Linked DNA regions of Ovis aries. The protein of the gene in region 7 interacts with the protein of the main gene of each other region in a pairwise test. Links are inferred from orthologs where the notes say so. Each region holds a gene or a part of one and is shown on either strand. Other genes may lie near its edges.

Region 1 (4,146 bases), on a different chromosome or scaffold from region 7:
AGGCTGCAGTCCATGGGGTCGCGAAGAGTCAGACACGACTGAGCAACTTCACTTTCACTTTTCACTTTCATGCATTGGAGAAGGAAATGGCAACCCACTCCAGTGTTCTTGCCTGGAGAATCCCAGGGACGGGGGAGCCTGGTGGGCTGCCGTCTATGGGGTCACACAGAGTCGGACACAACTGAAGTGACTTAGCAGCAGCAGCAGCTGGGAAATATGGAAGGCAGGAGGAGATGGGGACAAGAGAAGATGAGATGGTTGGATGGCATCACTGACTTTATGGACATGAGTTTGAGCAAGCTCCAGGAGTGGTGAAGGACAGGGAAGCCTGGTGTGCTGCAGTCCATGGGGTGGCAAAAAGTGGGATTCAACTGACCAAGCTGAACTGAACTGAGTGCTGCCTGCCCATGCACACAAGACCTAAGAGATGTGGGTTTGATCCCTGGGTTGGGAAGATCCCCTGGAGAAGGAACTGGCAAACACTCCAATATTCTTGTCTGAGAATCACATGGATAGAGGAGCCTGGCCAGCTACAGTTCATAGGGTGGCAAAGAGTCAGCTGGCTGAAGGGACTTAGCACACAGACACACAGACAATTACCAATGTTGCGATAGTTTTAGGTGAACAGTGAAGGGACTCAGCCACACCTATACACATGTTCTCTCCCAAACTCTCCTCCCATCCAGGCTGCCACTTAACAGTGAGCAGAGTTCCCTGTGTTATACTGTAGGTCCTCGTTAAGTTTTCCACTTTAAATACAGCAGTGTCACAGTATCTTTGAGTCAAACAACAAAACGCAATTTTAACATACTAGCTAATCGTATTAGTTGGAGAAGGAAATGGCAACCCATTCCAGTATTCTTGCCCGGAGAATCCCATGGACAGAGGAGCCTGGTGGGCTACAGTCCATGGGATTGCGAAGAGTCGGACACGATTGAGCAACTAACACAATCAGTTTACAAGGTCGCCTGGCTCTCACCATAATTTCCATCGATTCCCCCACCCCCATCACCATAAAATTTCAGCATCTCCGGGTTAGCATTTCTAACAGTTGACCGGGAGAACAAGCTGCCTTCTACATAAAAATAAACATTTAAAACTTGTGATAAGAACGTAACTCCGAAGACCGCATGCGGGGGCTGGGAAGAGCTGTTTGGGATGGTAAACCCTCCTTCAAGGCTACGCTGGAGAGAAGTCCCAGAGGCAAGTCAGGAGGATTTGCAGCCCTTGCGACCATCAAGGTAGCCCGCGGCTAAGCGCACACTGCGCAGGTGCGAGCCCCGCTGCTCCCCGCGGAGCGCGGGCGGCCGCGGCCGGAAGCTGCCTTTCGGTGGGCGGTCGCCGCGGGGGAATGGAGAAGCGGGGGGTGGAGCCCCAGGAGGCAGGCGGCGGCGACGACGACGAGGAAGCGGACTCGACTCGGGCCATGGAGCGGGCGGAGGCGGGGGCGCCCGGCGGCTGGCCCGGGGCGCTGGAGCCTGACGAGCCCGACGACCTCCCTTGGTGTAAATGAGCAGGCGGGGCGGGGCGACGAGGGCGGGCGCCCCGGGCGGCGGCGGCGGCGGCCGTTGGAGAGCGACCGTCCCCTCCCCGCCCGCGTCCTGGCGTGTTCCCGGCTCCGCCGAGAGGGCGGCCCTTCGCCGCTTGGTGTTCTGAGGCCACGGTCCCCGAGAGGGGCGGCTTCGCCCAGAAGGGGAAGGCCGGGCGCGTCCAGTGGGGTGATGGAGGCTGCGCTCGTCTCCCCTCAAACAGCCCCGCGAAAGCGGAAGGGGCCTCGGGGGCCTCAGGGCTGCGGAAGCGGGAACCTTGTCGCTCACTTGGTAGCGGTTGCGGCCCGGCCTCAGCCCGGAAGGGACCGCCCGGCTCGGAACCGAACCCGGCCGGGTCTGCAAGTGGCCGCCTCTCTGCTGATCCGCTTCCAGCCTCGGGGCCCAACCCCCGGGGTTTGGGGCCAAGGCTCTCTCTCCTTCCCAGTCTCCCAGCCCTTCGTTTTTAAAAAGCTTTAAAAATATTAAATACTTGCAGATTTACAGAGAGATGCACAGATAACTTTTACCGACTTTAATGGCTTACGTCACCGTGATACATTTGTCAAAAGAAAGTAACGTTGGCATAGTAATTGATACTCTTAACAGAAGGACAAGCTTTATTCAGATTTTACCAGGGTTTTTTTTTTTTTCCATTTAATTTGTTTCTGTTCCAAACTCCAAACCAGGATACCACATGGCATTTTAGCCTGCCTTGTTTTTAACTGCTGTTAATAGCTGAAATCTCCTGTCTTATCCCTCTGACCCCTCCACCAAGATGTGAACTACTTTTTAAAATCCAGGAAATATTTACTCAGTCTTTAAATTTAGCAAGTATTTGTTGGTAGTCTGCTGCTACTGCTAAGTCACGTCAGTCGTGTCCGACTCTGTGCGACCCCATAGACGGCAGCCCACCAGGCTCCCTCCGTCCCTGGGATTCTCCAGGCAAGAACACTGGAGTGGGTTGCCATATCCTTCTCCAAAGCATGGAAGTGAAAAGTGAAAGTGAAGTTGCTCAGTCGTGTCCGACTCAGCGACCCCACGGACTGAAGCCTACCAGGCTCCTCCATCCATGAGATTTTTCAGGCAAGAGTACTGGAGTGGGTTGCCATTGGTAGTCTAGGTATCGGCTATTCAGCATTGAACCAAATAATCCTGATCTCTTGGGAGCTAAATATAGTCCACTGGGACCCATAGATTCTGCCTTCTGTTTTGTGTTTCAGGCTGTTTTTTTAAGGACATGCCACTTAGAATAATTTTTTGTTGTTGTTTAGTCGCTAAGTCATGTCTGACTCTTCTGTGATTGCATGGAATGGACTGTAGCCCACCAGGCTCCTCTGTGCATGGAATTCTCCAGTCAAGAATGCTGGAGCTGGTTGCCATTTCCTCCTCCAGGGGATCTTTCCCACCTGGGGTTTGATCCCATGTCTCCTGCTGCTGCTGCTAAGTCACTTCAGTTTCCTGCGTTGGCAGGTTAAATCTTACAAGGAGCCACCAGGGAAGGATAATTTTTAAGTTGGTTGGAAGATTTGTGTTTACAAACTTTTCAGCCCTTTCCAACTTACTTTAAGTTTTCCTATAAACTTCAAAGTCCTAGGATTACCTCTTGCGTCTTCCATTATTGATAAAAGGTTTTTTTCCCTTAAAATTTATTACTATCCTGAGAAAAATGCAATACACCAAGAAATAGTAAACAGGCCTGAGGACTCTCTTGTAGGTGGAGTTTCTTTCATATCCTTGTAAGTTTTAGATTCTTTGAGACATGTAATAAATCCAGGGGAAAAAAACTTAAAAATCACTCTATATTCTTTGTTGGTTGCCATGTTTTAAGGGACTGGCAGTTGCTCAGAGGTGATAAACAGGCTGAATGTGTTTTTTTCATTTGGTTGCATATTGTGCCACAGTTCATGATGAGCTGGAACCAGCAGGAAGTTCTTCATGTAGAGTCATAGTACACGTGGATCTGGATTGCTTTTATGCACAAGTAGAAATGATCTCCAATCCAGAACTAAAGGACAAACCTTTAGGTAATTCTGGACTTTGATACTATTTTCATTGTATGATATGATTTGTTATTTATTCTGATTTATTAAGCATATTAATGTTGGCAGCAGTTCTCTGATGCTTTATGGACAGTAATCTTTATTTCACTACTGGATGTAAACTTCATGAGCCTCATTTACTAAATGGCAAATGTGAGAGAAGCAGTGTAATTAACCAAATAAACAGGAAGACCACAATAAACTTCTGGTCTTTTTCTCAATGTTTGAAATTTTACAGCCATTTTATCTCAAGAATAACCTTTTAAAAAAATTTTAATAGGCATTTTCAACTATTCTACTTTTGAAATTAACTATTGAATTGTGTAACAAAATAGTTGGATTTTGTGTGACAAAACAACTGGATTTTGAACAACCCAAAATATTAAGGCATGCATAGTACAAGCTTTTCATGAAAACATAAGTATGTTTTAAAATAAAAGGCAAAGAAATTTTACATTGGGGAATTACCGAGTATTGTGTTTTGGCTTATTTTATTTTTACATTGGAAAAGTAAATTTCTAAAATTTTATGCATGTAGTAAGGATTTATCTTTGAGTAAAAGCATGCTGGGAAGGATT
Region 2 (3,630 bases), on a different chromosome or scaffold from region 7:
GAAATCCCAGGGCTGATCTCCTTTAGAATGGACTGGTTGGATCTCCTTGCACCTGAGAAATAACCACCTAACCAACTTGGAAGTTATCCTATTCTTGATTTTACCCTTAAATCAGGTAATATCATCCTTACCATTTAAGTCAACTTTGGATAGGTTTTCTTGAGTATTCATATAATCTTTCAAGTGGTAAACTGAGGTCCAACGAGAATTATGATTTGTCAAATGTTGGTCAACTGGGGTGTTATCTAAGTGGAAGGTTCCAGAAGAAAATGAAAAGTTTGAGTGACCTACAATTTTTAGCAAGCCAAACTGTCTCCAGTGTATTAAAAACTCTACAGGGATTAAAATAACCCACATTTATCTCACTTAGAACTGTTTTAAAAAATTCATTAAGTCAAGTGATAAATGGAAAATTATATAAAAGCTCTTCACAAATAAAGATGAACAATGAAGAAAAGGAAATTCATGTAAGGAAAAAATGTCCAATAAACACAAAAATTTAAGTCTCACTGATCGTGGTTTTTTTTTTTTTTTTAATTAAAACCAGTCACCACTTCACATCAAACGGGAAAAATGTGTTATCGTGGTCACACCCAGTTTTGGCAGCTGTGTTGGAACCTCATTTACAACTGGTAGGAGTGAAAATTGAAACATTTCTGGAAGGCATTTGGCAATACATGGCAGAAGACTTAAAACAGTGCATACTCTCTGACCCAGCAGTTCCCTAGAATTTATCCTGAAGAATGATCACACATGACAAAAAATATCTAATTAAAAGTACTAGCGACACCGGATAGTTTATAAAAGCAAAAACATGGGATCTAACTAAAAATCCCAAAGTAGAGGAAACAGTTACGTTTTGGAAAATCCTAATGATAGGATACAAATAATGATTACAATTATCAACATTTAAATACAAGCTCTGCTCATTTGTAGCTGAATTGCTCAGGGAAAGCTAATTACTCTTTTTGCACCTCAGTTTCCCTGCAAAATACGGGTCGTTGTGAGGGTTAAGTTAATAAACATACCTAAAGCACTTAGGATAACACTGACACATAATAAGAACTCAATAGAAACTTTTTTTTTAAGCAGAGGAACACTGTAGCCTAATATCCTAGAAAAATGTTACTGATTTTAAAAAATGATTATAAGCCAGTACATACACAATATTTTTCTAAAATATACCTCATATATATACATTTCTAAAAATAAAGCCTAGAAGGATATAAAACAGAATAGAAACTGTACATCTCAGGACGTCCCTGGTGGTCCAGTGGTTAGGAAACTTCTACTACAGGGGGCGTGGGTTTGAGCCCTGGTTTGGGAACTAAGTTCCTGCATGCCATGCATGAGGCACACCAAAAAACACACAAAACCCAGCACATCTCTTTAAATAACAGGATTATACATTATCTTCCTTATTTGTGTCTGTATTTAATTTTTTTCCACAACAAACACGTGCTACCCGTACAAAAGGTAAAAGCTATCTATCATCTACCAAATTTAAACAAAACACTGTCATATATTTGCTCCAGTTGGTGATGAGTCCATCCCAAATTAGTAGGGTAGTACGGTAAAGAATCAGAATGGGAGACATTTCTCCTTACGCTTTTATTACTGCACAATACAAACTTGGTCTCTATTTTACAAACCTTATACATAAAAAGTTTTCTTCCCGAAAGCTACTTTAGTCCAATTTCCCTTCTTCCTGCAGAAGGATGATCTAGATTCTCCACGTTATTCTTAGCATTTAAGATAGAAAAAAAAAAAAAAAAATAAGATAGAAAGCCTGTCACAAAAGTGAACTGGCCATATGAGGAAATCAGTGCAAAAACAACTGAGTTCTCACTGGCTTCCATCCTGAGGGAAGAATGCATGGCTGGCAGTGGTGAAATGGGGCAATTATAACATCTTTTCTTGTAACAGCTGAGGGCAAGCCCCAGTGGACAGATTGTCTTAGTCACATGAGCCTTTTGGGGTCTATTTTCTCGAGGTGAACCAGAGGTTTCAGCTGCTCTGCAAAGTTCCTCATGTCATCAGAGACCATGTCCTGCCCAGCTGGTGCAACAACGCTTAGTTCCACGAGATAGGACAGTGACAAGGCCTCAGTGTTGTCTGTGTTCCCTGGCACCAGGATGCGGAAGATCTTGTATACCACGATCTTCATGATGCCTTTCCGGAACAAGTGTCCCCTGGCAACAAACTCGTGGTCCATGCGAAAGCCCATTTCCATGAGGAAGTCAGTGAGGTTCTCAGATGTTGCAATGTCTACGCAGTTACGCACCAGGGCATGGCGGTTCTTGTCTCCCATCTCTGGCTGTCCCAGGTAGCGAAGATGCCAGGGTGCCCCTGCCCTATCCAGAGAGCGTCGGGCCCTTAGAACAAATGGACTGGCCTGCTGGCCCTTAAGGAGGAATACCATCTCGTGGTCAACAAAAGTCTCGGGTTCCATGTTGTCACATAAACCACGAAGGCGGTGGATGAGGCTTTCCAAGCTGTGATCTAAAACACTTCCTGAAGAAGGAAAAAAGCACTATTGAGTTCCATCTTTCATTTTGGGTAATGGAATTAGCAAGAGACTGAAAAAACTTAAATGAAAAACCAAAATAATTTAGTGCAGTGTTTTGTAAACCATAGGCCCAATATATGAGATTGTAGGAGGTTACACTGCCAAGATATTATGTTAATCTCTTTTCAATTTTTTGTACTGTTTTATTTGGTACTAGAAGTTAGGCCTTGTTTAGTAATGCTAACCTCTAGCAGACTTTGGGGTTTAACAGGCAACAGTATCTACCTAGAATAATTATTTTATTCCATTCTATTATAAAATAATATATATTATTTTATATAAGACAAAAAATACTAAATAAAACAGCATGTGTGTGTGTTAGTTGCTCAGTCGTGTCTGACTCTGCAACCTCATGGACTGTAGCCTGCCAGGTTCCTCTGTCCATGGGATTTTGCAGGCAATACTAGAGTGGGTGGCCATTTTCTTCTCCAACAGAATAGTGTATTTCCCTGCAATCTCTTTTCACTTTCCCGCTTTATTTTTCTTTAGCTTATCACCTCAACTCTTTAGTCATCTTTTAACATATCAGTGTATTGACTTTTTAATAATTTTTCTTTCTCTACTGCTGATACTCCAATGTGAGAAACATATTCCTTTATTGACTAAATCTGTTAAAGTAAATAAAAATATACTACTATAACTACAGTAAATATTGGCAGTGGTATTCAAATGACTAAATTTTTGGAAAAGCAACAGAGTGGGTCCCAGTTATCAAAGGACAGAAGATCACAAGAGTAGGGAGTAGGTCCTACATTCAGAACAGTGTCAGCCATGTGTTTTTTCATTCTTCAAACATTTAAGGAGCTTTGTTAAGTGCTGGTTCATACACTTACACTTACTGAATGGCACCATGCTAAGAAGTAGGGGGCCTGGCCTGCCCAGAGATTATAGTTTAGTGGGGGAAATGAAAAAAATAAGTAAACCAATAAACAAGAGATAAACGGGGTGTTGAATAGAGAGCAACCAGTATGGGTGGAGAAGAGGAGACCTCTTTGAGGGCTTGGAATAGTCAGAGAAGATCTCTAAGGGAATGACAACTGAGTTGAGGCCTGAGGAATAAA
Region 3 (4,102 bases), on a different chromosome or scaffold from region 7:
ACTTGACTTCACATTCTAGTATGTCTGGCTCTAGGTGAGTGATCACAGCATCGTGATTATCTGGGTCATGAAGGTTTTTTAACTATGATTACTCCATTATAATTTCAATTTTTCATCACCTGTAAAAATATAGTGGCCATTAAGTGAGATGAGGGAGACTCTGTTGGGAGCTGGTTTGGGGTGGATGGTGGAGGTTAGAATCAAGAGTTTAGACTTCGTCATGTAAGTTTAGGACCTCTACATGTATAGTTATATACCAAGCAGCTTTACTGAACTCTCTGAGAAGTAGTGTCACTCTGTGGTCTTCACAGCAACCCTATGAGGTGGATTTTTTTTTTTTTTCTTTTACAGGTGAGGAAACAGCTTAAGGAACTTGCCTAATGTCACAGCTAATGAGTGGGAGAGCTGGAATATAAATACAGACGGCTTTAAAACTCATGCTCTTGCTTAAATCATTAGGTAATACTGAATCTCAGTGGATGCATGACATATAGTAATGGATAGTCATTATTTGTTCTGAGAAAGAATGGAAGGGGGAAAAAAAAAACACTAAAAGGGGGGAGGGGCTACCATCTTCAGAATCCTATACTCGCTTTTCCTGAGTGATCTCTGACACCACTGTTAAGTTAGGGACAAAAGCTAAGGAGGGGATGCTAGGGATCACAACTCTCGGAGGGTTTACTTTGTTTTAGAAAGTCCAGGTTTAGCCCCAAAGCAGAAGCCCTGCTTTTAGTTCTAGCATAACCGTAGTGCACTTATTCGCCACACTAGGAATACTACCCGTGAAAGTGCAGGTGCTCAGTCGTGTCCGACTCTTTGCGATCCCATGGCTGCAGCCTATCAGGCTCTTCCATCCATGGAATTTTCCAGGCAAGAGTATTGGAGTGGGTTGTCATTTCCTTCTCCAGGGGATGTTCCCCATCCAGGGATCAAACCCAGGTCTCCTGCATTGCAGGCAGACGCTTTACCGTCTGAGCTACCAGGGAAGCCTGGAAGGAATACTACAGGCAGCCCAATTTATGCTTCAGGTAACACTAACGTTTGCACACCTTTACCTGGGGAAACCAATGAGGCGAGGAACTAGCAAATGTTAAACTTTAGGGCTCCGCTACGCATGCGCTCCCTCTTTGGGGGGAAAGTAGCCACTACGGCTGCGCGAACCGGCGGCCCCACCCTCCCTCGTCACGCGTTGTGGGACCGCGGCGTGGCGGCGGCCTTGGCGGTAGAGACGGCAGGCCAGAGGGCGGCCAGAGGGTTTCCGGTTCCGGTGTAACGTTCGGGCTCCGTCTCAGGGGCTGAAGTTTGTGAGGTGAGTAGTGGCCCGGGGCCCGGAGAGGGTGTCCTGTTGTCCTAGTGATTGGGGTAGGGTTCAGTTCGAGAGAAGGACAGAGACGGGAAGGTTCAGCGGAAAGGAAGCTGAGAAAAGAACAAGGTTCTGTGGGAGAACGGGTTGGAATGAGGTTGTTGAGAGGGAAAGGGCGGGGGCGGGAAAGGGACGAGCTGAGGGGACTAGCCCTGAGATGAGGAGTTGGGGTAGAACAGGTGAGTAGGGGGCTGGTTAGAGAGACGGAAAGAGCAAAAAAGAAACGAATGGGAGTTTCAGGGATGAAATTCGACTTGTAGCAAAGAACACAGAGAAAGGAAATCCTTCAGAAGATTAAATTCTGTTCCCTGCTCATTCAAAGATCATTCTGCCTTCCTCTCCTTCCACACCAGAACCACACCCCACCCCTACCCCACGCAGTTACTGTTGAACAATTGATTAGTGACAAAGCTCATTACTGTTTGGAACTTTTATTTTGCCTATTGGCTGTTTAGTTTGCACGTTATCTTATGGAGAAATGGGTTGAAGTTATGTACATTTGTTAGTATAGTGCTTGGGCACACCTTTCATCTAATAGAGTGATGCCCCATTTGTAACTCTGGATTTTCAAATTGTTTACCCTTTCTAGCCTATGATTCAGTTCCAGTGGAACATAAGTTCTGTTAAGGCAAGAATTCCTGTCTTGTTCACCGTTGTGTGTATCCTCAGCACTCAGTAGGCTGCCTGAAACTTACTAGGTTTGCAGTAAATATCTATTGAATGAATTAAGTGCCTTATAAGAATGACAGTTGTCCTCATTTTGTAGGATGAGTGAACTGAGGCTCAGAGGAATTACTTGTCAGAAGGCTGGTAAATGTTAGAGGTGCGTGTGAGCTCTTCACTCTATGGTGTCTGAATGTGCTTCTTTTGAGCAATGCACAGTTAACATGTTGAGATTGATAGGCTATCCTGCTATCTCCTGATGGGTAAATAGAGCCACTGCAGATTTATTCATATTACATGTCACTGAGGCACAAAATACTACACCCCTAGTTTCATGACTTTAAGCTACTAGTTTCATATGGTTATACCAAAATTACATACAGTATTTAGCAATAGGTCTTCTGGAGGATAAACCTGCCAACAATTAGAAGTTAATCAAGCTGTACCTTTTAGGGAAAAGATGTCTTAAAACATCTTGAAAAATTGACACCCAGATCGAACCCTGATGTGTGGCACTTCTGGGAGGAGGTTAACTTGGAATTGAGGTCAGTCTAATTTATTGTCTTTTAGACAATATGGAGAAAATTATAGAAATAAAATTTTCTTTCTGCTCATGTAGAGTTTTGAGATTTCAGTAGGAGATAAGACTGTAAACATGAATAAAGTTTAAGAATTGTACCAATTTGCATTAAATAACAGATTGTTGTAGAGTCTTGTATGATGGTTACTCTATTAAGCTAAAAAGTAGACGAATAAAGGTGAAAAGAGTACATCCAAAATGAGGGTAATCTTTTTTTAAATTAATTTTTATTGGAGTATAGTTGCTTTACAGTGTTGTGTTAGTTCCTACTGTACAGCAGAATGAATCAGCCATACATATACATATATCCCCTCCCTTTTGGACTTCCTTCCCATTCAGGTCACCACAGTGCATGAGGGTAACCTTTTCTGAACTGAGGGATTATTTATGACGGAGACCCTGTAGAACAAAAGAAAAGGATCTGGGTACAGAATTCCCACTGGGATCACAATGAATACAGAGAAATGTGACAGAACAGTCTTGAGGATTAGGAGCTTTAATGTAAGATGTAACCCAGATAAGCCATCTCTTATTTGTGTCCCTTAAAAGAAGCCCTGGGTTAAGGAATGCCTGCCTGGAAGTAGGAAGAATAGAAACGTTGGCCTGTGAGTGGGCTTTTTCAGTCTTGTTTTCATGTTATATGTTTGACAGTCCTTGTTGAATATGATAATCAGAAAAGAAGCTGGAACTCATTTCTCAGACTAGGTTCTTCCCAAGGGTTGTTTGTTTATTCCACAGATTTCATTGATTAGCTGATGATATTACTGAGTTAGGGTTAAAAAACAGAATGTAGTTCTTTCTGTTTTGAAGTATAAGTTGAGAGTATTTGGCTTGAAATGAAGTTAGAGGAACTTGCCCAGGATTGAGAATAGCAGTGGGGAAAGCATTCCTGATATATTAATCATTGCCTGGGGTCCTTTTAGTCTTTTCCTGTCTTCTAACTACTGATTTCTTTTTAGGTGCAGTATTGAATCCTGTTTTGAGCTATCCTCCTTTTCCCAAACAATGGCGCTGTCCAAGAGGGAGCTGGATGAACTGAAACCATGGATAGAGAAGACAGTGAAGAGGGTGCTGGGCTTCTCAGAGCCCACAGTGGTCACGGCGGCCCTGAACTGTGTGGGGAAGGGCATGGACAAGAAGAAAGCAGCCGGTACGTGGGCGCTTCCTGACTCTTTTGGGCTAACATGTTAGATGACTGCAAATGCTGCCTTGAACTTCCCCAAAATTCTCTATGTTAGGAGCATCTGAAAAAAGGTCAGGCCACATTTTATTTTCTCTTGCATTATAATTGTTGTTGTTCAGTCTCCAAGTTGTGTCCGACTCTTCATAACCGCATGGACTATAGCACACCAGGCTTCCCTGTCCCTCACCATCTCCTGGAGTTTACCCAAGTTGATGTCCATTGTATTGGTGATGCCATCCAACCATCTCATCCTCTGTTGGCATCTTCTCCTTCTGCCTTCAATCTTTCCCAGCACCAGGGTCTTTTCCAGTGA
Region 4 (4,249 bases), on a different chromosome or scaffold from region 7:
AGAAAACTTTTCATGTGAATTGGAACAACTTTAATGGCAGATGGTCTTGAAAGTGGGTAAAAATTTACCTATGAAATAATGTGGGCCTGGAGCAATTTTTAAAGAAGTAGCTCTCTGATAACTTTGTTCTGGCTTTAAAATTTACTTTGAAAATGAAGATAACCCAAAGGTACATCTGTGATTACTTACTTTTCTCCTACCTAATTTTGTATTCCTACATCACCGACTGGATGGACATGAGTTTGAGCAAGCTCCAGGAGTTGGTTATGGACAGAGAACCCTAGCAGCGCTACAGTCCATGGGGTCACAAAGAGTCAGACACGACTGAGGGACTGAACTGACCATTCCTTTTCCCCTATATTCAGTAGCATAGTTTAGTCTACTGTTTTGGTTTTCCCTTCCAAAGAGGCAGCTCTTATAATTTGACGGTTTTTTTCCTTTTCAGTATCAGTGTTACCTTTATTATGCCTGTTTTTCTTAGGTTTATTTCACTGTTTCCTTTTTAATATTCTGAAGTAAAATATATAATTTTTATTCTTTTTCAGTTATTCAAGATGTTAACTTTCTTATAAATTTGGCTTTGGCCACATCCCAAAGATATGAATACATATTAATCTCATTATACTATTTCCTAGATAATATGTAAGTGTATTTTAAATGCTCTCTTTGCTACAGTAAAGCATCCAGAGTTGGTTTTGTAGTTTTAGTTTTTGTCACCTGTTCATTATTTCAGTCAACCAGCAAATGTCTAGTGTCCTTCTAGTTTTACTGCATCATGGTCAAAGAATGTATTGTGTTCTACTTAACTTCCTGAAAAATACTACCAGTGTCTCTGTTTCAAAATCATCCATTTCTTCTCCACAGTTATTTCAAATATTTAAAAAGATAAATTCCACAAACAACTGTTTTTCTTCACAGCACACAGCATGGAAGACAAACCAGTTAACGCCACATATTCTCAAATTTAAAATTACACATGATTGTAAGATTCACCATTATTTCCTATGTTACTGAAGGAAACAAAAACTGCCATGCTGATAACAGCAATGTTATCCATTTTTTAACTGCTGCTAGCAGCAGTTAATGTTAAAGGGCGATTTTAAGCCATGAAAAATCATATCAATCTTCCTCTTTCACCAAAATCACCTAAAACAATGGCTTTCATCATCTTTTTGTTTTTCCTGAATTGCTTGTCTTGTCTTTCATATTTGTTACCTTTTGCAGATCAGGGACTCCATGATTCCCAAGGGATCTGAGTAAGATAAAGTGGCCCCTTCCTCCAGGACTATTTGATTAGGAAGGCAAGGACAGTTTTAAAAACAGCACATTTAATTTTATATTTGAAAAGTGAAAAAATAATTGATTTTATAAAATACATCCTGGCCCCTTTTTAATAAGCCAACAGTAAATGAAAGCATAATGAGAAGACTTATCAAAGGGTCAAACTTCTTTTTTTTAAGTTGAAAAAGGCCTGTAACTTCTGATAATCAACAACTGGCTCCCTGTCAATTTTTTCAGCTTCTTTCAAAGTTAACCAGAATACTACTACTTCACTACAGAAATTTTCCATATTTTAATTTTGCCCAAGCAAATATTTCAGTCAGTGAATACAGTGCAAATTAAATATGATCGGAAGTAAAGCTTCTATAGCCATTCATCTCCACAGAACCACTTACAGCAAGAAAACCTGCTTTTCTGAAAATAGGTTTTAAAGCCCATTGTTTCGTTTTTTCTAGTGCAAACGGCTAAAATACCAATTGAATAATATAGGAATCCATCCTCACACTCAAAATTTACTTATGCTCTCTTCGCATGAAAAAGTATTTACACTAAGGTATCATCAAGTTCTGTGTCTTTCAACTATACACTGTACAGCCTACCCAAAGTTCAATTAGTCCCATCACCATCGTCCTATCTGCTTACACAAATGTATTTAGGGAGAAATGCTTTCAATATTACTCTAGTTCTTCCACGGTACAGACGTCAACAAAAACTTATTCTGGAAAACACGTTAAAGATATTGGTAAAGTCTCTAGAAAATACACTTTTAAAACAAAACATGAGACACAGACTAACGAAATGGACAAATGTTGAGAGCAATTGATCTATAACTTACAAACATAAAAACCATATAGGCTTAAAGACAGTGGCAGAATGCGGTTCATGAGCAGAAACAAGCCTGACTCCCTCCTTTCCTTGGAGTAACAATCCACTCAACACAGAAGAATGATAAACGATTACTGATGCCAACCTACTTTACAAATATCAGGCGAGATCGAACCACAACTGTCCTGAGAAGCCAGCCTCACAGTTCTGAACTGTCACACTTCCCATACCTGTGTCCATCCCATATCCCAACCCTCGCCAGCCCCGCCTCTCCCCTGCCCCCAACCTCGGCCTAGCTAAACCAAAAATCAGAAGCTAAAACTCTCGAACCTTCCTCCTCCGGAGACGCAATCCCTCTTACCCTCCCCCGCCAAGAAATTCTCTACCACTCCAAAACCCGGCCAACGGGGCGCGGTGAGGAGAGTCGCCGAAGAAAAAGCACATCCCGCCTCCGGCCGCCGCCTCCCTGGAGCCTCCGCGGCGCTCCGGACAGGGGCCGAGATCCAGGCCAAAAGGAGTCGCAGGCCCCGTACACCCAGCACCTCCAAGAGCCAGGCCCGGAGAAAACGGAAGATCACTTACTAGTGGGAGCTCTGCCAAAAGTTCCCTGCCATGGAACACAGCTTGGCCTGATAAAAAAGCACCAGCCGGCGGAGCGGAGCGCGGAGCGACCATAGACCCAACCCTCCCGGTCACCGCGCTCCTTGATCTGATGGACTCGGCTCCGCTCCGCGGCGGCGACGGTGAGAGGAAGATAGCACCCTATTCTTCTTGACGCCGGCCGGCAACACTCTGCTGTACAAACCAGTTCCTACGCATGGAAGTTCCGGCCCGCCCCGCGGTAGCGGAGGAAAGAGGCGGGGAGGAGATAGCCCTTGCGCACACTGAAAAAGGAGTCGGGAACTGACTCTCACGAAGTCTCGCGGCAGTTGGGAGAGTATCGCGAGAGGTTTTCGTCATTTCCGGCCTAGAGCCCGCGCGGCTCGTGCGTCTGTGGGAGCTAGGATTCACGGAGAAGGGGTGGGATGGGGAAACCGTCCCTTGTTCGGGTTAACTTTACTCCCATCTTACAGGCTTCCAAAGCAGCACAGTGGCTTTGTATTAAACTATACGACTTCCTGACTTCTGTTCTTTCTCCTGTGTTTGGAAAGAGAAATAAAGTTAATTTTGGCTTCAAAGGGCTTCCCTTGTGGCTCAGCTGGTAACGGATCCAGCCGCAATGCGGGAGACCTGGGTTCGATCCCTGTGTTTGGAAGATCCCCTGGAGAAGGGAAAGGCTACCCACTCCAGTATTCTGGCCTGGAGAATTCTATGGACTGTATAATCCATGGGATCGCAAACAGTCGGACACGACTGAGCGACTTTGACACTTTCACTTGGCCTCAAAACCTAACAAGCCGAATAGGTTCTTAATGGAGTTCTTTTGGATTGAAGTGACTGCGAAACAATGCAAAAAGAGATTACGACAAATTACTAGAAGCTAGGAGATTCAGGTCCCTTCCTTCTGTGAACTTTCAGGCAGTTTACCAGAATGCCACATAGAAATACTTCCTGTGTACAACCTGGTTTCTGCTTCCTACCCAGAACTCCAGCGTCTAAATGCCCAGCATCCCTCAGTTTTCTCAGTGGCCCTGCAAGTCAGGAGCATCAGCTTAGGCTTCATTAGTTCAAAGGTAAATCATCTTTGAGGGACCCCATAAATGTAGGTTTAATTGAATTGGCTTGAACCAAAAACTAGTTTCCACTGTTTCCCCATCTATTTCCCATGAAGTGATGGGACCAGATGCCATGATCTTCGTTTTCTGAATGTTGAGCTTTAAGCCAACTTTTTCGCTCTTCTCTTTCACTTTCATCAAGAGGCTTTTTAGTTCCTCTTCACTTTCTGCCATAAGGGTGATGTCATCTGTATATCTGAGGTTATTGATATTTCTCCTGGCAATCTTGATTCCAGCTTATGCTTCTTCCAGCCCAGCGTTTCTCATGATGTACTCTGCATATAAGTTAAATAAGCAAGGTGACAATATACAGCCTTGACGTACTCCTTTCCCTATTTGGAACCAGTCTGTTGTTCCATGTCCAATTCTAGCTGTTGCTTCCTGACCTGCATATAGGTTTCTCAAGAGGCAGGTCAGGGGGCCTGGTA
Region 5 (4,375 bases), on a different chromosome or scaffold from region 7:
ATTATTTTTAATGTACTGGCACAAATACACATAGCATTGCAACACTTATACATTATACCATTTTATTGTGCCATGGCCCACATGTATAGTTGGTTCGCCTTAGGACCACTAGGGGGCTCTGCTGGAAGGGTTTTTATAGTTCTTCCGTTTAGGGGAATGTTTCCAGATGCTTTAGAATTCTAAACTCTTAAAACTTGGAGGAGATCATCTCATCCAGCTTCCTTATCTTGCAGAAGAGGAAACCAAGGTTGAAGAGAGAGAGCTGGTATGGAAGGGGGCTGGAATTTAAAATCCCCTCTTGGTTCCTGCGGCAGTTCAAGAAATTCTTTTCTTGCCATGTGCCTCCACTGAATGACTCATACCCAGGGGCTTATTTTTTTTTACTGCCACAATTTTGGTAATTTTTGCTAAGACGGTGTATTCGTGATATTTTCCTAACAGGATGCTTTACTGATTAGTTAGGTGAAAGAAATGCATGAAATATAAACTTCTAAATAAATATTTATTACAAAATGTTTTCTACTCAAAGCATCCCTTAGTATCAAAACCATATTACTGGAAGCCCTAAACCACTTTTCAATTGCCTTTCAAATTTACTTCTCACTTAAAACATTTACTCTTTACTCATTTATTCATTCAATATTCATTGAGTGCCTACTAGCACTAGCCACTGTTACTCTAGGCTTACAGAAGTAAAGCTGCCCTTCCCCCCCAAGAGGGATAGGTTTCTCCAGTTTTCCCTATATATTCAGTTACTGAACATATCTTAGTTCAGTGGTTTTCATACTGTGGTCTCTGAACCAGCAGCACCTGGGAACTTGCTAAAAATGCAAATTAGGCCCACCTTACACTCTTTTGTTTTTTCTTAAGCTCTCCAGGGATCCTGATGTACATTCAAGTTTTAAAGCTATGGTTTTAGTTCCACGGCTTGTTATTATCTAAGTAGGCCAAAGATCAACATCTGGCTTCTAAACTCATCTCAGGCATCTCCACTGAGACCCGGTCTCAATTACAACTGAGATACAACAATGACCATACTTAATTTAATGATTTGTTGTACCTGGAAAGATCCTGGGATGACTGCAGTAATAGAACTGTAACGGCTGCAGGACAAAAACGAACCGCAGTGGCTTTTCAGAACCAACAGAAAATGGGCCAGACCGAGTTCCCGGACAGTGTTTTCCGACACTAGACACAGCCGGATACATTAAGCCCGTGGTCTGGCTGAGTCAGGGCGGCGCTCCAAGCTTAGAGGGGCCGCGTGAACCCGTCAGGTTGGACTCGAACCTTCGGCTAGAGGCGAAGGTCTGGAAGCCTCCACCGTACCACCTACGTTCATACAGGGGCGGAGGCGCCGGAGACGACCCGTGAGGCCCGGGAAGCCCTGGCCCGCGCGGAAGCCGCACCCTCCTGGCTCCAGACGCCGACAGGGCGGAGCCACGCGGCCGCAGCTCAGGCAGAGACGCGCCGCACAGCGCGGCGCAGGTTCGCGGCTAAGGCGTATGGGGCTACAACGGGAGCGGCTGCGCCGCCGGGCCGGGTCAGCGTCGTGCGCATGCGCGGACCCGGCGCCATTTTGGTGGCCGGGCGCGGAGGTGATTCCACACTGAAGATAGTGCGGCGGCCGGGGTGGCAGTGGCAGCGTTCGTGTGCTCGGGTGTGAATCGCCGGGGGAGGAGGCGGTGGAGGAAGAGGTGGCGGCGGTGGCGGTGGTCGTAGCGGTGGCGGAGGAGGCGGGTACGAATCAGCTGCGGGCGGAGACATGGCCAACATCGCGGTGCAGCGAATCAAGCGGGAGTTCAAGGAGGTGCTGAAGAGCGAGGAGGTCAGAAATGAACTCCCGGACGTCCCCCACATCAGCCCAGGGCGGGAGGGCCCTTCCGGTGGCAATCCCAATATCCCTGGTAACCCCCGGTTGGCCTTCTTTGCGGCCGCCCTTCTGCCTGTGGGGAAGCAGCAGTCTCCCCCCTCCTTCCGCCGCCTTCCCCTCCCCTCCCCGGGCCCTGGGATGGACGGTCTCGCGGGCGGGGGGTCTGGGGAGGAATAAGGTTTAAGGGGCAGATGGAGAAAGGGCGCTTATCGTCGGGTGTGAGCTCTAGAGAGCGCCCCACGGCAGTGGCAACAGCTGGAAGTGTGGCTGTAGGGTGGGGAGGTAGCAGGCCGAGCCTGAGAAAACCCGGGAAGTGGGTTGGGGGAAGGGGAAAGGTGGTAACTGGATCCGGAGAGCCGCGTCGCTCAAAGGCCCACACTTTTCAGGGTATTCTGGGTTATGGCCGGTCTGGCTGCCACCCTCCTTTCCTTACCGAAGGAGTGATTGATGAGAGAAGGATGTTCGGAGTTAACTCCCTCTCGGTTGGGTGTTGGGAGAAAAGAGAAGACATAATGGGGTACTAGCTTATTTGAGTGGGCGATAAGGGAATTTTCACCAGAGATAGAAAATTAATTCCGTATTAGACTATTATCTCATTTCCACTTACTCCGACATTCTAGGCGTCTTTTTCGATTGACATCTGAAGCTTTTTGACTAGGTAAAGGCACGTTCGGTATATTAAATACGTTTAAATATTTTTAGCTAAGATAAGGAAAAAATAGTGGAGTGTATGAGTAGCTTATTTCAAAATACTGTTTACAAGTTATAGATGAGAGAGTCTGTCCTAAGACAATGCCTCTGTGACACTGTTGTGTTGTGCCATTTGTGCCATGAAACTTCATTATGATGTCCCCATAGTTAGTTCTTACTTTTGAAAAAGTGTCCTACTTAAAAACATGAGATTTCGGATTAATACATTGTTATGTTTCTTTATTAAGTAGGTTTATTCCAACATATATCTGAAATGATGAAAAATTTTTGTCTCAAGCTACTACTCTTCAGTCCTGTAGAAATTTTAGGTACGCTGATATTGGCCACATTTGTTAATATATTTTAAATGTTTCGGTAATTTGACTCAAAATTATGAAAGTATAGTACATTTTTCACACCCATAATCAACAGGAATGCTAGTTTGTTTTTCCTCCTTGGACTCAACAAAGATTAAAAATACTGAATGGTTATTTTCAAGATGTCAAATATCGTTATCGAATATATTATTGCTATTTGTGCTTTTCTCTTATTTGTGAAATTCAGCATTCTAAGTATGTGATGAGTTATTGACAAGTCTGATAGCAAGCACTTGAACTTTATTTGTGCCACTGAATCTGAAGTGATTTTGTGTCTTTACAGATAGACGTGGAGAAGATTCTTTAAAATTATTTAAAAATGCCAAATCCTAGCAGATTTATTGAATATAATAGTATATAAGTAATGATTGGTTTTACAGAGCATGTGTATAAACTCTGACCTCTGTATTTGTTCAAGTGCCAAAACTCTGAATGGAAGGATGACTTTGTGTTTTTGTGGTACAGTGCAGAAAAAGAATCATAAATACCTGCACTGTGATATATAGTGAGACAGTGATTCTAAATTTTTCTTTAGTAAGAAAAGATTTTCCAGGATACTTGACATATATCTTCCTAATGAAAGTTTGCAGCTAGTATTATTGCCAGTAGCCTAGAACATTTCTTCTGTAGTACGGTTGTACAAGCCTGAAACTTAGTATAAGACTTTAATGCTTTATTTTCTATTACTTAAAAGTATAAGTAATTCGTATAGTCTCTGCATTATGTGAAGTGACTTTTCACCATGATATTCTTACTACTTGAAGTTTAAAAGAAATCTTGTATTGCTCTAGTAATGCATATTGTTAAAATAATACAGCTTTTTATATATGAGCAATGAATGATGAAACCTTGTTTCAAGTAAGTGATGTAGTGTTTCAGAGGAAGAAAACAAAATCCAAACAGGAAAATTATTTTTTTAAGAACAGTGTCTGTATAAATCTGGAATGAAACTTCTTCCAGAAAGAACATTTAGGAAATGTAATTCAACTAATTACAGATAATTTAATATTGGAATTTATAACCAATAAATAGCTTTATTTTCACCAATATATTTTATTTCATTGATACTTAAGTCCAATTCTATAGGTGTATTATGTTGATTATTTTCAGTACGTTGAAGTACAGTCCACATGTTTCCTTTTTATGTATGTAAATGCAGTATTTGAGTGGCTGGTATAATTAAGTATTTCCTCATGTCATCTATGTAAATCTTCATTTTACCAAAGTTTATTTCATATTTTTGTGTTTACTAAGAATCTTGATTGATTTTAAGGATTTCCCCTCCCCCTTTTAAGTGTCTTTGTAAAGATAGCTTACATCTGGCGGTAAGAAGTTGTAAATGGCCACTGTTGGAGTGTGTTGTTAATTAAAATACAGCCTCAAGATAAATTAAATGTGGAAAGTACAGGATAGAATCAGTGAGAAGAGGCCACCATTA
Region 6 (4,103 bases), on a different chromosome or scaffold from region 7:
TTTGCATACTTAAGAGACTTAAGATTCAGAGGGAAAGGGAAAGTACAGTACCTCAAATGGCCAAAAAAATTTTTTAAGTCATTTTACTAAGTCTGCTGATATTCAGAAAGTGAAGCCATCCTAAAATGATGATGTTTGCACAACACTGTGGATGTAATTAAATCTGTCATGAAAATCTTAAATCTGTCATGAAAAACATTGGGAAACTGTTTTACTCCATGCTGAAAAAAATTTTTTCATAGCCCAATATGTCCAGATTAAAACCACTACTGTATATCTGAAAAGTGAAGGATCTATGCCAACACCCTTAGGAAAAAGTCTCTCCCTCCCAAACAAAAATCTACTATAATAAGCTAGTAACTATTTAACAAGTTAACCTGAAACACTCACCTGGGCTAATTCCTTTAAACCACAATTAACTCTTTAACTTTCATGACAATAATGGAGAATAAAGGCCTCCACAAATTAAATTCTAGAAATAATCCTTTTATCCCACACAGCTCACTCCTTCACCCCAGTTACATCAGGGTCATGCCTTCTCTCCAAAATTATAACCAAGGTTTCACGACTGTTTTTCTAAACTTTACTCTGAAAAGGTAAAGCATAGCTTAAAATCCAGGGAACTCAGTTCTCAAAGAAGCTGACACTATAACTATCTATCTAGGTACCACTGATAATAATAAACTACCAAAAGCTAATACTTCTTGCTTTTAAAAGCCCATGCTAATAACGTCTGGCTGGTCACAAGTCACACCACCAAAAGGCCTTAAAACCATAAATTAGTTCAAGTGCACTACCAACAAGAGAAAAATGTTGAATTAGAATGTTAAAATGAGTGTGAAAAAACTTAAACTACCTATAACAAGCACACCATCTATACTTAGCAAAAAGTAATACTACTTGTATAGTTCGGTACCATTAATGATCACCTCACCCACAGGATTTTGACCCTCAATTTGATCTTAACCCAAGGTTATTTTAAATCATGCCCCCTTTTATCTTCCTGCTTTGTTTTTACTGCAAATCTCATTGTTAACGTGCCACTGAGTAATTATGCTATGACTTGAAATGCACTACCAAGTACCGCTTTCCATGGGCAATTTTTTTTCAAGATGCTTTGCTGAGCTCTCAGTTTGCCCAGGATTTAGTCATACAGGATGCCCATACATTTTAATGAAGTAGCATGGCTAAACATCATGTAATCAGGACATTTACAAGTCAAAAGTTAGGTGTATGTGGAGTTTAATGACAGGCAAGCAACTGGTCCAAATGCTAGCATGTTAAGAAAAAGTTGTAAACCCACCCACCCAAACGATTTAGTTTAGGAACTTACACCCCACATTTCTGTGACATCTAACATAAGGCTGGAACAAAACCAACACTGTCATCTTTGCTATTCCTAAAAGCTGTTTCTTCTTTAACTAAAACATTCTGTCCTCTACACAAGGTATAGAATGGGCCCAGCAAGAGATCATATAACTAAAAGTAGAATTAACTGGATTACTCTTCTCGTATACTACAACATTGATTGCATTAAAATAACTCTCCTCAGCAAACATATTTACAATAAAGTACAAGTGCGTTCCGTGTCACAGAAACTTTTAAAGTACGGATCCTACTGGGGTAACAGCATTTGTACTTTTATCCTACATTATTTTCCTTTACGTAAGATGGATAGGAATTTGACTAGCCCACCCCGACAGTGCACTGGCCCAATAACCCCAGGCTGGAGCAAGAAGCCACGTTTTACTCCGGCAGACCATTTCCCCACCCCTCGTTAAAATAATGCCTGTGGCCACTTGAGACTTCCCCAGCCGAGTTCCAGAAACTTGCAGGTTTAAATGGCCAAATTGGAACCAACCAGGGCAGCTGTCATCTGAAACTCAGGAAAGCGGAGACCAGCCAACTCTGCTGAACAAGGCCGGGTTCGGAGAGATGTGGCGGGGCCCGTCGGAGGGAATGCATTAGGCTCCCCTCCCCCACCCCCCCCCCCCCCCCCCATCAGTTCGCTTTCCTGCAACCCCAGCGCCGCCATCCTGTTCCTGAATAATTAAACGGGCTGGAGAGGGAGCGAGGGAGCCAGAGGCAGTTTCTGGTCGAGTTTCCCCAGCCGAGGCGGTGGGGTCGAGAGGCCGTGGGCTACCTTCCTGGAGCGCGGAGTGCTTTTCTGGGACGGGGGTGGGGGAGTCAGGGAAAAAAGGGGGCGACCCGGCGGCCGGCCGGAAGCGGAGCGCGGGGAGTGACGTGGAAGAGGGGATGACAAAGGGGCGCGGGGGCCCCGGCCGCGAGGCCCGCAGGGGCCGGGACAGGTGGCCAGGCCCGGCCGGGAACAATGGGGGGCCGAGGCTGCCCCCTGGCGCTCACCTACCTCCGGTGCCCTCCGAGTTCTCGTTGAGGCTGCCCGAGGAGTCGTGCTGGGCGCCCACACACCCGCCCATGGGGGCCCCCGGCGCCTCGTCCGCCACCTCCGGGCGCTCGTCCGGGCCCGCCGCCGCCTCCGCTTCCTCAGGCGCCGCCGCCGCCGCCGCCGAGCTCCGGACCAGCGCTCCGCTCCGCTCGCTCGCCGCGGCCCAGCCTCCGCCCCCCTCTCCGCTCCACCCACCGCCTTGGCTCGGCCCCTTCCTCCGCGCCCACTTCTACCTCAGTCCCCGGGCCGCCCGCCCAGCAGGCCTGGCCCGCGCGCCGCCCTCGCCTCCGGCTCGGCCCCGCCAGGCTGGGGCTGGCCCATCCCGGGCGGGCCGCGGCGCCCACCTCACGCCTTCACAGCCCCGCGCTCCCGCGTGCAGGCGAGCCCCGCGCCGGCGCCCCGCGGCCGCCAGACCCCATCGGCCCCCGCCCCGCGGCGCCGCCCTCCGCATCTAGGCCTGGGCTCCGCGGGGCCCTCCCGGAAAGGCCGGGGGGCGGGGCCGTGGGAGGCCGCGCGCTGATTGGCTGCGGGCGGGGCCGCGGGCGGAGGGGCGGGGCAGGAGGCGGGGAGGCGCGGAGGGGATGCGAGGCGGGCGGGAGGGGGCCCCCGAACCCGAGGGAACGAGGCGGCTGGGGTTCCGTCCCCGGGAAGAGGCCGAGAAAGCGGGCGTGGAGGAGGGAGAGGGAGAGACGGGAATGAGCAGAGAGAGCGATGGAGGGGGAGAGAGCAGGACAGACGGAGTAAAAGTGAATAGGAAAAGTGGAAAGGGGAGAAATCGAGTTTCTGACTCCTCCTCCGGCGTCCCCTCCTTCTGGTAGAAGCGGGTCGGGAGCGGGCGGGGGTGGCGCACGGAGGAGTAGTGATGGAAGGCTCGCGGGCGGGGTCCCACGTACCCGGCGGAGGGGTGCTCCTGGCTGAAGATTGAAGTGCACCTTGTGGATTTGTGTAGAGTCCAGTGGGTTGCTATCCCAAGTCCTGGCTTCTTGCCTGCCCCATCCCCCTGCCCCCCTGCAATCTCTGTGCCCCATTACTAGACGTAGAGGCGGGTCTTTGTGGTTGCAAACTGGACTGAGATTACAGAGGCAGGGCATCCGGGGCTGCGAGAGAGAAGCGTGGACCGTAGTTCAGGGGGGCGTGGGTTTGTTTCCTTCTCACAGGATTATTCAGACACAATGCTACTTCTCAAGATCCTGCCTTTAAGGGCCCTAAATCGTCCTTAGAACAAAATTAAATATAAATAAGTAAAATACCCCGCTTTTTCTAAACTAGAATTTGGTACACTGACCACGCCCGACATTCTTGGCCGTTGCTCTCCCAGTCTGAAGCCAAACTGTTAATGGTCCCTTTAGAATTGTGCTTCTCGCCAGGATGCCTTAAAATTTTTTATCACCTGGCTTGGGTCTTTCTAAAGCTTACTTCTGCCTAAGAGCTGTTTTAACTATCTGCTCCATTTTTATAATCAGATTTCTTTTTTTAACGTCCTGGGTCAGCTTTTGCTTAGCATTAAAGAAAAATTTTCAAGTAAAATACCTAGGAAAGTGGCTCTATGCAGCTTGGAATTTGCATTTAAATATATTTTCATACACTGCTGGTGGGAGTGTAAATTGGTTCAGTCTTTTTGCAAAGCAATTTGGATTGCAGATCAAGAGACTTAAAAATGTTCATACCCTTTGACTCAGGATGGGAATGTAGCTCA
Region 7 (3,577 bases):
GAGACTCCCTTTCATTCTCAAGAGGAGACCAGTTTTCGGCAAATTATTTAACCTCTCTGGGTCCCTATTTAGAAAAATGTGGGACTAAGAGGAGACCAGTTTTTGGCAAATTATTTAACCTCTCTGGGTCCCTATTTATAGAGCAGATGACACCTGAGGCTCCTCACTTTGAGTTCTGCGACTCAGAGTGAGATTAGAAGCCAGGTAAAGGAGTGGATGTGGATACAGGCATGAAAAGTGACAACAGGGATAACTGAAGTCCAGATAAAGTAGGACCTAAAGACTTCCGTCTCTCTGTTGATTTCCTTTGCTAGTTTCCTTTTGGGAACAACTCACCAATTAGCTGTTTAAGGATTTTCCTTAGTGCAAAGTACTGTCGGGGGAAATTGCTGAAGTTCTTTTCCAGCTCTATGGATACTGAAGTCACCTCCATGGTCTTCACCTTCTCACATCTAGGAGGGATGGGGAGATAGGGGAAGAAAGGGCAGGGTCAGGGGAAGCTCCAGCTTAGTCACTATTCAGATGCTGTCATCTTTAGGGAGAAACTAAAATTATTCATCCTCGTACTTTCTCCTCTCTCAAGACAAGTACTCACTGCTTTCTTTTGCCTATCTATGGAAAGAGAGATGGTCCCCTGGACAAATCCTTAAGAATGAGTTTTAGAACTTTCTGGAGGTACTGTTATATTTCATGCAAAGAGATACCACCCCTACTCCCCAACCCATTCCTCCTTCCATCTTGTTTGGACATGATTCCACCCACGGGCCCAGGCAGAATCTGGTTCTATTACATTATGCTGGTATCTACCCTACCAAGGAAGTCCTGATGCTCAAAGGGTAAAGGGGAACAGACTAGTACTCCCAATCATTTGTTCTGTAATTGGCTTCATGGATGCAAAAACCCTTCTCCCTTTTTCTACCCAAACACTGCATGACTTTCCCATTCTTACTCCCCCAGCTCCCTATTGCAGCCCTAGTCTTTAAGCCAAGACCTAACTCACTCGAAGAGATACAAGAATCACTTACTTTTCCAGGGTACTTTTGACATCCTAGAGGAAGGAGAAAAGAAAGCAATATTGGTCCTGGTAGTCAAGGGCCCTATAGGCAAAAGGTTCCCCTCCTCCCCAAAGTTCTAGAACTATTAAACAGGCACAGGACAAACTAAGGGTCACAGTGCAAAGGGGACTAACTCCAGAGGGATCTGAGTACATCTTTCCCAACCTAACCCCCACCTTCAGCTCTCAGTCATCATGAAACTTGGTAACTGATGTCACTTCCAAATAGTTTCCTGTGTGTTTGTCTTTGTTCCTCAAGAACACCGGGACCTCAATGCCAGGGATAGGATTGTGTCTGCTCTTTGCTCTGTCCCCCAAGTACCAACCACACACCTGCCTCCTTGAGAATCAGTAGAGATAGTTCTAGACTGCTGGCATAGGAATGAATCACTCTCTCCCATTGTGGTTTGGTATCCCTTGTCTAGTATTGGTTAATAAATATTTATAAGTGCGTGCCAATCCTGATTTGTGAATACTTGGGGTCCAGAAGACAAAGAAGACAAATCTCTGCCCCGCCAAGGATTTCCCAGTTTAATGTGGAAGGCAGAACACACATACATGAAAGGACATGAGAATAAATACCAAGCAATATATAACATGCAGATAAATATACAACGAAGCCTCGCTGATTCAAATGCTGGTAATGTGATCTCTAAGATAAGAAATATGTTTCCTGGAATCTTGCTAACACCATTCATTTGCTTAAGAAAACAGACTATTTCAAACATTTTAGAGGCACTATTTACATATCAAAAGCAGCATGTTACTATACATTATTTCAAGTGTCATCACACTATATTTCTATTCTTTTTGAGCACTAGGTAAGTCAAGTTCCAGGACTTAAAAGTAACGGTTACTGCATTTTACACAATTTTTAATGCATAGATTTTTCACTAATTTAGACTAGACTGCCCTCTTCTCAAAAAATTGAGTTTTTTCTTTGGTACAAATTAAGCACATAATTGTTGACAAGACATAAGAACACAGAAGTGATCAAAAGGGATGTGAGAAATCAGAGAAGCCTTTCTGTAGAGAAAGATCCTTTGAGCATGTCTGGAAGAAAGAACTGGATTTAGAGAGGCAGAGTGGAGGAGTGAGCATTGCAGGCTGACAGAATGACCTGTGCAAAGCTAGACTGCGCTCGGCCTGAGTGGCTATGCAGGGGCAAAGGTCGAACCTTAAGCATCTCGAAGCCCGACTGTAAGCACTTGCCCTCCACCTCAGCAGCCAAGTGGGCGAGGTCCCGGCGCTTGTCTCCAAGGTGAGCAGCATTTTCTCGGAGGCGCTGTAGAATGTCCTGTTCCTCTTCCTCCAGCCGTGAAAGTAACACCTGCTGCTCTTCATCCAGGCGCCGGTGAAGCTCTTCAAATTCCTTTAGGATCTGCTGTCGGCGACTCTCCACTAGTCTCTGAGAACAGAGGGTGGGTGTTATGTTTCACAGGGTCAGTGGGGCATAGGATACCTTTCCTCATGCACCATGTGTATGAATTCAGACTTCAAGTGCCATTGGAGAGAGTTTAAAAGGACACTCATGTTGCTCTCCATTGATATTTCCTTCTGTAAAGAATGGCTCCATCCCCATTAGCACCCTTACTGATAACTTGGGATGAAGATCATTGAGATAAAAAAATAAACCAATGCTGAAAAAATTATTTTATTTACTAAATTAACTTCTAAAAAAGCTATACTTTTATGTTTTAGAAAAAAAAAATTCAAGACATAAGAACTCAATAATATGACAAGTAGTATTACAGAGATACGGCTGTAATAATAGGACAAGTACTGATAGCAGAGATACCTCTGCTATTTCCTACTCTAAGTTCTAGCTAACGCAAATTGTGAAGAAAAGGAAAGCACAGATACTCGAAAGTTAGAGATTGTCATCATTTGTACACTGCAAGACATCTACCTGATAAAAACCAGAGATGGAAAAACTGGAAAAATATCAGAATCAGTAAGATTTTAGTAATGGACTGTTATAAAATATAAATTTAGATTTTGGGGCTGAGCCTGCTAAACAGTTTCAAGTCACTTCAGAGACTGACAGTTTACACCCCAGGAATGGGTTATAGATGTGAAAAAATAAAAGGGGCATTGGGTCTGGAGGTGGGGATGAGGGAGAGGGAGGAAAGATAATTCAAAAGGTCACTGAAGGAAAGTTGGTGATTGGTGACAGTTTCTGAGACCACTGAAATGATAATTTACATTAAAAAAAAAAACCCACACCACAGTTCTATTCAAGCATTTAGCAGGTTTTTAAACTTTTTATTTCCTTCTCCGTCCTTTATCCTTAAGAATGTGATCAATAGGAAGAGGAAAGCTAATGATTAGGAATAAGCTTCATTTTCACAGATTTTTAGTGTTTCAAGACAATAACTTTTTTAAGTTTACCTTTGCAATCAAAATTAGTTCAACTTTTTAAAAATTCAAATGTTTCTTTTTAAAATGCATAAAGGACTAAGGTAATAATACTTGCTTCCTATTGAAATGTTGTCATTGTTAAAAAAACAAACAAACAAACAA

The links.
Region 1: the proteins of TRIM39 (region 7) and POLI interact in binary tests that used the Homo sapiens proteins (3 or more experiments, as listed by UniProt). The two-hybrid records come from large-scale screens. The link is inferred for Ovis aries from reciprocal best matches to the Homo sapiens genes TRIM39 and POLI.
Region 2: the proteins of TRIM39 (region 7) and MED18 interact in binary tests that used the Homo sapiens proteins (3 or more experiments, as listed by UniProt). The two-hybrid records come from large-scale screens. The link is inferred for Ovis aries from reciprocal best matches to the Homo sapiens genes TRIM39 and MED18.
Region 3: the proteins of TRIM39 (region 7) and PRPF3 interact in binary tests that used the Homo sapiens proteins (3 or more experiments, as listed by UniProt). The two-hybrid records come from large-scale screens. The link is inferred for Ovis aries from reciprocal best matches to the Homo sapiens genes TRIM39 and PRPF3.
Region 4: the proteins of TRIM39 (region 7) and CCNC interact in binary tests that used the Homo sapiens proteins (3 or more experiments, as listed by UniProt). The two-hybrid records come from large-scale screens. The link is inferred for Ovis aries from reciprocal best matches to the Homo sapiens genes TRIM39 and CCNC.
Region 5: the proteins of TRIM39 (region 7) and UBE2K interact in binary tests that used the Homo sapiens proteins (3 or more experiments, as listed by UniProt). The link is inferred for Ovis aries from reciprocal best matches to the Homo sapiens genes TRIM39 and UBE2K.
Region 6: the proteins of TRIM39 (region 7) and UBTD2 interact in a two-hybrid assay, tested with the Homo sapiens proteins (2 studies listed by BioGRID and IntAct). The link is inferred for Ovis aries from reciprocal best matches to the Homo sapiens genes TRIM39 and UBTD2.

The regions. Positions count from the first base shown.
Region 1 is NC_056076.1:54,026,590-54,030,735, forward strand, and holds the start of POLI (DNA polymerase iota), read left to right. Parts: upstream 1-1,322; 5' UTR 1,323-1,351; coding exon 1,352-1,505; intron 1,506-3,430; coding exon 3,431-3,553; intron 3,554-4,146. UniProt on the Homo sapiens protein: Error-prone DNA polymerase specifically involved in DNA repair. Plays an important role in translesion synthesis, where the normal high-fidelity DNA polymerases cannot proceed and DNA synthesis stalls. Favors Hoogsteen base-pairing in the active site.
Region 2 is NC_056055.1:238,800,003-238,803,632, forward strand, and holds the end of MED18 (mediator of RNA polymerase II transcription subunit 18), read right to left. Parts: intron 2,515-3,630; coding exon 1,961-2,514; 3' UTR 506-1,960; downstream 1-505. UniProt on the Homo sapiens protein: Component of the Mediator complex, a coactivator involved in the regulated transcription of nearly all RNA polymerase II-dependent genes.
Region 3 is NC_056054.1:100,392,493-100,396,594, forward strand, and holds the start of PRPF3 (U4/U6 small nuclear ribonucleoprotein Prp3), read left to right. Parts: upstream 1-1,266; 5' UTR 1,267-1,432; intron 1,433-2,129; 5' UTR 2,130-2,177; coding exon 2,178-2,186; intron 2,187-2,479; coding exon 2,480-2,571; intron 2,572-3,565; coding exon 3,566-3,756; intron 3,757-4,102. UniProt on the Homo sapiens protein: Plays a role in pre-mRNA splicing as component of the U4/U6-U5 tri-snRNP complex that is involved in spliceosome assembly, and as component of the precatalytic spliceosome (spliceosome B complex).
Region 4 is NC_056061.1:37,531,196-37,535,444, reverse strand, and holds the start of CCNC (cyclin-C), read right to left. Parts: upstream 2,849-4,249; 5' UTR 2,721-2,848; coding exon 2,689-2,720; intron 1-2,688. UniProt on the Homo sapiens protein: Component of the Mediator complex, a coactivator involved in regulated gene transcription of nearly all RNA polymerase II-dependent genes.
Region 5 is NC_056059.1:59,505,120-59,509,494, forward strand, and holds the start of UBE2K (ubiquitin-conjugating enzyme E2 K), read left to right. Parts: upstream 1-1,573; 5' UTR 1,574-1,762; coding exon 1,763-1,825; intron 1,826-2,811; exon of another isoform or gene 2,812-2,889; intron 2,890-4,375. UniProt on the Homo sapiens protein: Accepts ubiquitin from the E1 complex and catalyzes its covalent attachment to other proteins. In vitro, in the presence or in the absence of BRCA1-BARD1 E3 ubiquitin-protein ligase complex, catalyzes the synthesis of 'Lys-48'-linked polyubiquitin chains.
Region 6 is NC_056069.1:4,221,162-4,225,264, forward strand, and holds the start of UBTD2 (ubiquitin domain-containing protein 2), read right to left. Parts: upstream 2,861-4,103; 5' UTR 2,439-2,860; coding exon 2,369-2,438; intron 1,984-2,368; exon of another isoform or gene 1,862-1,983; intron 1-1,861.
Region 7 is NC_056073.1:27,574,507-27,578,083, forward strand, and holds part of TRIM39 (E3 ubiquitin-protein ligase TRIM39), read right to left. Parts: intron 2,463-3,577; coding exon 2,232-2,462; intron 1,049-2,231; coding exon 1,026-1,048; intron 453-1,025; coding exon 337-452; intron 1-336.